Neodiprion lecontei: one gene and its partner. The main gene of each other region encodes a partner of the protein of the gene in region 2 in a complex. Links are inferred from orthologs where the notes say so. Each region holds a gene or a part of one and is shown on either strand. Other genes may lie near its edges.

The links. The genes of interacting proteins can lie anywhere in the genome.
Region 1: DNA polymerase alpha catalytic subunit (region 2) and DNA primase small subunit share a complex: the UniProt entries of both Drosophila melanogaster proteins name them as parts of the alpha DNA polymerase complex. The link is inferred for Neodiprion lecontei from reciprocal best matches to the Drosophila melanogaster genes PolA1 and Prim1.

What each region holds. Positions count from the first base shown.
Region 1 is NC_060261.1:38,830,887-38,835,372, forward strand, and holds DNA primase small subunit, read right to left. Parts: upstream 2,876-4,486; 5' UTR 2,625-2,875; coding exon 2,522-2,624; intron 2,401-2,521; coding exon 2,250-2,400; intron 2,028-2,249; coding exon 1,852-2,027; intron 1,772-1,851; coding exon 1,573-1,771; intron 1,465-1,572; coding exon 1,254-1,464; intron 1,164-1,253; coding exon 782-1,163; intron 705-781; coding exon 685-704; 3' UTR 582-684; downstream 1-581. Other genes in the region: uncharacterized protein LOC107219690, read right to left, coding at 262-280; uncharacterized protein LOC124293032, read left to right, coding at 4,258-4,486. UniProt on the Drosophila melanogaster protein: Catalytic subunit of the DNA primase complex and component of the DNA polymerase alpha complex (also known as the alpha DNA polymerase-primase complex) which play an essential role in the initiation of DNA synthesis.
Region 2 is NC_060264.1:15,990,482-15,995,507, forward strand, and holds the start of DNA polymerase alpha catalytic subunit, read left to right. Parts: upstream 1-1,990; 5' UTR 1,991-2,279; coding exon 2,280-2,295; intron 2,296-5,026. UniProt on the Drosophila melanogaster protein: Catalytic subunit of the DNA polymerase alpha complex (also known as the alpha DNA polymerase-primase complex) which plays an essential role in the initiation of DNA synthesis.

The DNA of each region.
Region 1 (4,486 bases), on a different chromosome or scaffold from region 2:
AAATGAAATTGATGAACTTTTCATAACAATTGAGAGATAGTAGAGTATTAAATGGATTACTTTATCTTACATAGAAAACAATTTTTCTATAGCTGTCGCAACACAGATCAAAATCAACATTTAAATGAAATGGAATTGTTTGCGAGTAAGCATATTTATTTATTAAATATGCTTATTATATTTATTCAAGCTTGATAGTTACGAGAAATTTGATACGAAAAAAACCACTACTTTGCATAAATAAAAATTAATCTTACATACCGCAAAACAAATAAAACATATCCAGAAGAGCGAATCAGACAATCTGTCGGCTGGGAAGCCAGACATGATTCTGTTTAATTTTATTAGCCATACTGCAGAGTAACGTACATTGTATAATGGCTTATAAAGCTTCTATGGATTCTTTTACGCATAACTAAAATTCTCTTCAACAGCCACTTGGTTGTACACTTTAAAATAAACCTGGCTTCTTTGAAATAAATCAGTATTCATTATTGATTGTGAGCGGTTCAGATGCGTTTATAGTAATCTATTAAACTGTTGCGAAAGAGCAATTCAAAATCATTCATAAACGTATTAAACGTACTTATTTCTTTTATTTTTCATTTGTAAGCGAAACTTATTGATTACTTAAAATTAAAACACGAGTTTCATCTTATAGTTCACAGTTATTGGTTTGCATTACTAAAACTCCATCAACATATCTGCAACATAAAATGACATTTATACAATAATAATATATTATATCAGTCACAAAAGATACGAGAAAATAAAAAATTACCACTCTGCAAAATCTTCTGTCCTTTTGAAGCATCTTCCAAATTCCTTAAAAATTCTTGAAAAACATGAACAGATTTGTTCAAGCTAGTTTTTTTATAGTCCTTGATTTTTCTCCTAGTGTTTGATTCTTGGATAGAGTCTTCTTTGGCGTCGAATGCATTGATTTCCTCGATTAGCAAGTTTATCGTTGGTACAGTTAACGGGTTAAATTTACCAATAGCTTTTGGGCTAAACGGCACACTGACTTTACCCGATTTTGGATGAATACAGAACGGCGATTTCAAAAGATGGTTCATTCCCTTGGTCACGTTAATATCCAATCTCGGATACGCGTACTGGATCATTATTTCCTCCAGAAGATGATTCAGACGCCATTTTTTACCCTTTAAAGAAGATGAAAGTTGGAAATGAGTTTTTTTAATAACATCAAGAAAATTGAAGATACTACATTGTACAAAATGTAATCATCCTACCGTTTGTTTCTCGACTTGGTAGCAGGCAGTGAAGGCCTCCCAACGCTCAACACTAGATGTATGTTTTTTGAATAAATCCTTGACCTGGGATCTTAAACTATCGTCAAGAATAAGTGGTAAGAATTTGGCAACACCTTCTTCTGTTCCGAGCATATTCTGCTCCTCGACGCACATTGATACGAACAGTGGTTCTATAATATTTAGTGCACGTCTGTAAGATATAAAATGAATAAACATCTGATCTAACAGATTCTTGAATGCAAATCACAAATGGAAGAATCAAGAACTCATAAGCATCCAAAACGGATTACACGCTGACCTCACAGAATGGTGTAATTTTGGGCCAGGAAAGTTGACTTTCTTGGCTTTTAGTTCTCCACCAGTAATAAGCTGTAAGTATTCGGCAACGCAGCCGCGGGTCATCGAATTCAACTCGCGAGCTGATTTATCGCACACCCAGCAATGTATACCTCTTCTTCCAGAAAATACCCACAATAGATGCTCAAAGCCAAAATCCTCTGATATTAAATTTCAAGTTTTAGGTATTTATCACTTCAAGTTTCAAATCATTTTACATTAGTCATTGACAGTGCTTTACCTCTAAGTGCGGAGTCCAATATCTGGCAGGCAATCACCATGTACTTCCAGCATTTTGTACATATGTCGGCGCCTGAACAGCAGCTTCGAACATCGTCATAATCCGTCATATCTATATCAAAAACAAGTTCTCTTTCTACCGGCAGAAAACTTGAAAATTTCTTCTCATCTTTTGGGCTAAAGAGAAGTCGATCAATACATCGATTATTATTTCTACTGACGTAAAAAAAAAACAAATACTGGAAAATTCCGGATAAAAATAATGGAAGATTGAAGAATTTTTGGTTTTGGAATTATGAGACTGGAGAGCTTGAGTAAAAAACGAATCTGACAACGAGCAGGCATAATTTGAATTGTTGAATTTAAATAATAAGTAGACCAAGGTATTTCGGTTCTTACCATATATTGTATATCGCACCGATATCAATTTTAAACGGCAAGAGTCGTCTGCATTCCAGTTGTAGTTCATCTTGATTAACGAAGGAACGATATCGTATGTAGACGTCATCTCTTACGGTGAAAGAAAATTCTCTGCGTGAAAAGACGCTGGCTGAAAAGAAAAGGATGTACCGCCATTGATAAGACTTTGGATTAAAATTAAAAGAAAGACCAACAAATTTCCCTCCTACAGAAATAATAAGCCTGCGGCTAAAATTGACAAGTTAACTTACGATCACCGTAGCTCAGCCACCTGTAGTAGTCGTGAAACGGAAAAAGCCGCTGATAGTAAAGAGGCAAAAGATCTATCAGATTCTCTATTCCCTCGGTTGACATCCTTTTAGGTTAGGCGCGTTTATTGCACGGTCGTATCGAATCTTTTCTTCTGCATTCAATCAGCAGTTTACTCACGATATCATTCAATCACAGGACTGAAAATTAAACTCCGTCAAAATTCTTTCGCACGTTCACGAACACTGCCACAAATTAAATACACAACAGGATTACAAATGTTACAATGTGTACACGCAATTTGACAGAATTATTTTCGCGCCAATTCCTAGCAGGTTTTTCGACCTGAACGCGATCTGTCAATCACAATCTTAACTGTTACGAATTGTCGACTCGTAATTGGCTCGATTCAGATGAATGATCCATTTGCGCCAATCAGAGATCACAACTTTCGCCCTCAAAAGCAGCTGACTTTACCTTCATTAATCCCTGGCAGGCACATCCAACCGTTCATGTCAAATATCTCACATATTAAAATTATAATTGCTATCTATGGCCAAGTAACTGTTTTAAATTATCATAAAACAAAATATATTTATAATAGTACAGTGTATTTTAAGCTTACTTTCTTTACACAATGCGGATGCATCCACAGACGTAATTGGATAATAACTGCATATTTTGACAACAAGGTCACATTGTAGTACGACGTATTTATGTTTATACGTATTTTGGATATGAACAGTGCGTGTAATTCTATGAATAAAATATATCATATCACCAAAGCGTCGGTACTTTGCCATAAATCATTTCAATCGTAATTACACGTTTTTTACACCTTACCTCGTAAACTCAGGCTACATCAATTTCGCTAATCGTATTCGACTCCCTTCAAAAAAATGTCAAATTTTTTTGAGTACAGTATGGGTACGGCGATATTTTATAGGTCACGAATTAATATTTATACGTATTTATAAGTTTGATGCAGGAGTTGTTCAAAACAGCTTGTTTACATTTTCGGTAAAATAGCGATTCAATATTTTATTCAACACACCGAGATTCGCCGATAAACAGCAAATTAGGTGTGTTCTTCAATCACCTACCAGTCTAAATGCGACTTACCGAATTCATATTTCATTACTGCTGTCATTTATAATGCCCCTCGTCTCTCGTGAGTGGATTTTGAACGATGATTACAAATTTTACTCACATATAAAAGTTGACCCTAAGCTTTCGCGGCATGATGAAGTTGGGGCAAAATCAGATGGAACTCTCTGGTGGATACTGGAACGCAAAAATGGGTTGTCCTGTGTTTCTAAAATCAAAGAATACTTTCAAATTTGCACGTACGACCATGGTATGAAACTTGACACATGCATCAAAGACAAAGCAGTTACCCAAGGTTTAATCAAGTTTGTGACTTAACAAAATCACGTTCGATGCTTGGAAAGAAGAATTAAATATTTAATATTACTGCGCAATGAAGTTTTTGGTGGTAAAAACATTGTGCTTTCAAATACTATTTTGTCAAGTACACAGTTTAACCAAATCAGTGAGAGGTCAAACATTGATCGTGAAAAATTTGAACAATATATTGGAATTGTTTTTTGTCGATTTGTTGAAACACTATGTGGAAAAAAGCGAGCCTCGACATATAACAATTGTCGGAGCATCCGCCAATGATCGCAGTAAAGCTCAATCGCTGCTCAACTTTTATCCTTACATTATGTGTACAAATATGGAAAAATGTGCTTTCTTGGAAAGGTTCAGCGAAAGAACTCTTGTAATTGTATTTTTGAACAAATTCAGCGAAAAGAAGTTCCGAAAGAACGTCGATATTCTCTCACGGTGTCAAACATGCCACGTCCTCTTCGTATCCAGCACGATCATGCCGGTTAATAATATTCGGTCGATTTTCATCTGGGCTCATGAGCATAATATGCCATACACTGAATTCGCACAGCTCG
Region 2 (5,026 bases):
TTGAAAATGATATCATGCGAAAGACTAATAGAATTTCAGATACATTGTGGTGCCAATCGTTTGCGCGTCGTTTGCGCAACCAGCAGCACGAAATAATTTAGCAGAAAATATGAAAAATGACCAGTAAAAGAATTATTTTCTCTAATATACCCGGAAATGAACACGGGTAACTAACAAAATAATGAAGTAGATATAAATATTGCGAGAGGTATTGCACTAGGTCTTGAATTAATTCAAGCAATATGTTTATTCTCACTTTCAGACGCTACCGATTTAGCAGTTTTTTGCTCTTCGGTTATACATCCGGATTTTTCCTTCAGAATTGCTGACATTTTTCACACAGTTAATTAAAATTTGATTTTTCATTGGGCTCGCTAGATGATGCTTATGATGCTTAGGATGTTTTACGCATCCTCTCGATGCATTGTTGGGAAGAACCGAAGAATCGTATTGTTATGATGCTTTCTGAATTTCTCTGGTAAGCTGAGCAATGATTGGCTGTTGCAAGATTCTCTTACGCGGCAGCACTGGCAGCACTGCTGGCTTATCCTGTACAAGGTCCCTAGATTAGACAGGTCAAGACACGTGTGTTCCAGTTTTTCTCACTATAACGTGGGCAAAAATGTTCTATGCGCGTTCGCCCAAAAAATATCAAATTTACATTACCGCATTAACCAGTTTTGACCAATCTTGCTCAATTTTTTGAGGTTCAGCATTAACGAGTTGCGCCCTTCGTGTCCTGACGTTCACGAAATAAATAGAAGCACGTATATATTTTGAGGTTAATCATTGTGACAGGTCAGGAATCAGAACCACACCGGGTGCTTTCCATTTAGAGCACAGTGTGACACAGTGTACAAATTTCTATTGTAAGCGGCCAACCCGGGCAAAGAAATAGACCAGAAATGTTTACACCGTGTCATATTGTGCTCTAAATGGAAACCATCTATTGTCATACGAAACTTTTGGCGCATTCTCACTAATTATTTTGACCATGCGTGTCTTGACCTGTCTAATCTAGGGACCTTGATCCTGTACATATAGGCCGTGTTCGAAAATTGACTGACAGTACTGTCGGCAATCTTTTATCTCTTTTGCCCTTCCAAGTTCGTGAATAGCTCTGATTCTGTCCTAGGGAATTTTCAGTACTGTCAGTCAATTTACGAACACGGCCATAGGGTGCTATTTCGGCCGTGTTCGAAAATTGACTGACAGTACTGTCAGCCATCTTTCACCTATTTTGCGCTGCCGAGTTCATGAACAGCTCTGTCTCTGTCCTAGGGAATTTTTAGTACTGGCAGTCAATTTACGAACACGGCCTTCATGAGCAGTAAAAAGCAGCAGTGGTTTAGTAACTTAGTAGTTTTCACTAGCATCAGTCTGGTAATTTTACGCAGCAGCAGCGCTGCTCATGAAATAGGTCGACTGTTCTTGTGATCTTGTGGCTTGTCGCTCGAAAAACTAAACTGCGAGCAGCAGAAACTTGCGCCGGAAGTGATAGGGGAAAACTGCTGCTGCTGCTGCCTTTTACTGCTCATGAAATAGCACCCATATACGTTGGGTGCTTTCCATTTACTGACTCAAGTCGACTTGTGTCGCTATTTCTGGTGTATTCCTTTGCCCAGATTGGCCGGTTACACCAGAAATAGCGACACAAGTCGATTTGAGTCAGTAAATGGAAGGCACCCATACATGTTCTAACCAGAGAGAAACCTTTATAAGGTCCTCCGTCAACGACTTGAATTCTCTAGCTAAATTTGTTTTAGTAATAACGACTAAACCATTGACTATCAGACATGGGAATACATCATCAAACATCAACAAACGACCAACAAAGAATTAAAAAGAAATCAATTTATTTGGGTGTCAATGACGGCCTAAGTATAGGTATAATATTGACCTGTTTTCTACCTGCTTCTCTTATTAGTTTTAACTTGACCCGTCAGGAGGCAGATCTTTCTTTTTCCATCTTAACAGTGTAATGAGTGTTGGTAGTATTCTTACCATCTTTTTCAGTGGTTGGCACCTTGCGGCAATTTTCCCGCTAATTTTACTGTAGTAGGTTGTGAAATTTTGTTTACACGTCGGTGCAGTTGCTCGGCTCTTAGCAGCCACGTGTTTTATAAATCATATTTTCTGCTTCCCTCCTGATCTGTGGTGTAGATTATGATTTTATGATCTTCTTATTCGCTCCATAGAACGCAGAGTGTTCCGTTGTGGAGTGTTAGTGTTAGCTTTATGACGTTTGGATTGTTCGTTTGTTTCGCTCTTACATCAGCATGGATGAACCTGCATGTAAGTCTTTCTAATTTAACGTGCATTTTTCAATGTCAAGTCGTATTCCCTCGACAAATAATCCATTTTAAAATTATTGGCTTGACGAAGATCTATAGATATCCTAAAACCTTATTATTGTCAATCTCGATATCGTCACATATCCATTGCATTCTTTGTCACGATTAATGTCACCGGTGTCACCTGTTATAACTCGCCCCATACTAGCTTAGAGACCACTGCGATACCATCGGATTATGTGAGATTGAAACTCGTAACGTCAATGTGACCATGCGATTTTGATAATTGCTATTTCGCAATTTGAGGATGGTCTGAAATCCGGTAAACTGTAATGGAGCATCAATTCACTCATGTTTTGCCCATTCAAGTCCTTCAAAGATATACCGAAGCTATAGAATGGTAATTTTTCTTTCGACATTATTTGGTTATCCAAATGTTACAAATTTCGGTCTCATATGCAAGTTATGGTCAGCTTTTGTGAAGATCTGCAGTTTGATAACTGTGGAAATACGTAACCTTATGTACATAGTAAAGGGGATGCATTACTGATCCTACAAACTTTTTCTAAAAATACAATATTTTGACCACTAATAAATTTCTAACGAAATGAGTTTTTACCATGCTGTTTGAATCGACTGTATTCCGTATCTTGTATCTACCAATTATTAGTCCTACTAATATCGAGATTTTTTTTTCATAACCTGCATTATACAACTGCTCTACTAAATACAAATTTCAAAATTATTATAATAGCATAAGGGCACGAGGTCGAAGTTAGTCATGTTATCGTGATGAAACATTGAGACAAAAGTTAATATTTTACTATTTCAAAATAACTTCTAAAGGAATTAAGTTTCCAAAATATGAAAAAGTTTTGCTTCAATGCGGCTTATGAATTCCTGGGAAATGCTCAGGTTATGAAATAATAGTTTTTCTTTTAAATGCTTCGTTAAGTTAGGAATTTAATCCCATGATGAAAAATGATTGTACAGAACAATTGATTTGTCATCACAGACCAAGTATCGGGTAATACGATTTTAAAAAAACTATTGGCCATAGAACGACAAAAGAAACTCCAATTCATTAAAATGTAATCCACTTTCGCTGGTTTACAAATTGTTGAACCAATTATTTCACAAACAAATACTCAAGCTGTGTTACTCCAAGTTGCAACTCGAAACACCACCTTGGATTAATTATTTTCAAGGTTTCTGTGATACTTTAAATTTTACTTAAAGGAATGCCGGACACATGTAACGTATTTGCATTGCTGAAGAACGTTAACAATTATTTTCGTTTTTTTCAGTAGGGTAGATGCGCCGATAGTTGGTCATCTTTGCATACCGTAATTTTCAACACACAATTTATGTATTGGGGGCACAAATTAATTCGGTCCGTTCTCAAAAGATGGATCTATAAACGTGGCTCTAAAAACATTCAATTTTTAAGTAGTAACAGCTGATTGCCCTGGTTTTAGACAAATTGGACACCTGCCGATAACATCCAGTTTGTATTGTTGTGAGTTTCATATAAAACGTTTTTTGTTACGCTGTTGAAAATGTCACTTTTTTTGATAACTGAACACCATTTGTGGGAAGTTTTAATTTTTTGTTTTAATTGGAAAAAAAGTTCAGCTAAAGCTCATCGTATGCTTGTGAAAGTTTACGGTGACAATGCTCCAACTGACAAGTCACGTAGAGAATGGTTTTGGCGCTTCAAAAGTGGTGATTTCAGCGTTGAAGATAGACCTCGCTCGGGACAGCTGAAATTCGTAGACGATGAATTACAGGCATTACTCAATGAAGATCCGAGTCAAACGCAAAACGAGACTATAATTACTTCGTTTGAACCGTGCATTACGAGAAAAACGACCGGAATATAAGGAAAGACATGATAAAGTTTTTTGCATGACAACGCTCGGCCTCATGTCGCAAAAGTTGTCAAAAAATATTTAGAAACGAACAAATGGGATTTCTTACCGCACGCGCCACATTCTCCGGACATTACTCCTTCTGACTACGGACTGTTTCGACGGATGCAACACGATTTGGCAGGTCACCGCTTCACTTGTTTCGAAGAAATCGAAAATTGGCTTCAAAATTGGGATTGCCGCAAAAGACGAGAAGTTTTTCTTACACGGGATTCCGAAATTGCCTGAGAGGTGGGGAAAAGTTGTAAGCAGTGATGGACAATATTTTGATTAATTTGTTAATTCATTATCTTTTGAAATAAATGCATTTTTTGAGCGAAAAAAACGGACCGAAATAATTTGTTCCTCCAATATAACTATACAATATGAATTTAAATAATGATGAATGGAATGATCAGGCGGCTTTCTTCAAGTTCAAGGCTTTCGATGTGCAATCAAACAAGTTTTTTTTTTTCCATCCGAACTACTGCGTATGACACAACCTGCTACGCAATGTTCTTCTCCCACCCTTAATGCTTAATGTATTATTTTTTGCAGTACAGATTGTTGTACAAAATATAAGTCACATCTATCTTAGCAAAGATTACAAATCACAAAAGCATACAAATTTTGTTTAAATTAAGCATAGTATCGATATTATTTTGGACTAAATTTGTAAGTGGCTGACAACTGGAGGTGGCTGGCTTACCTGTGCATCTGTCTTATGATATCCGTGAAAACAAGCTCTGAAAATAACAAAATATACGTAATTCATACAAAATTTGAAAGACAGGGTGGCCACCCGTCTGGAAAACCGGAAAA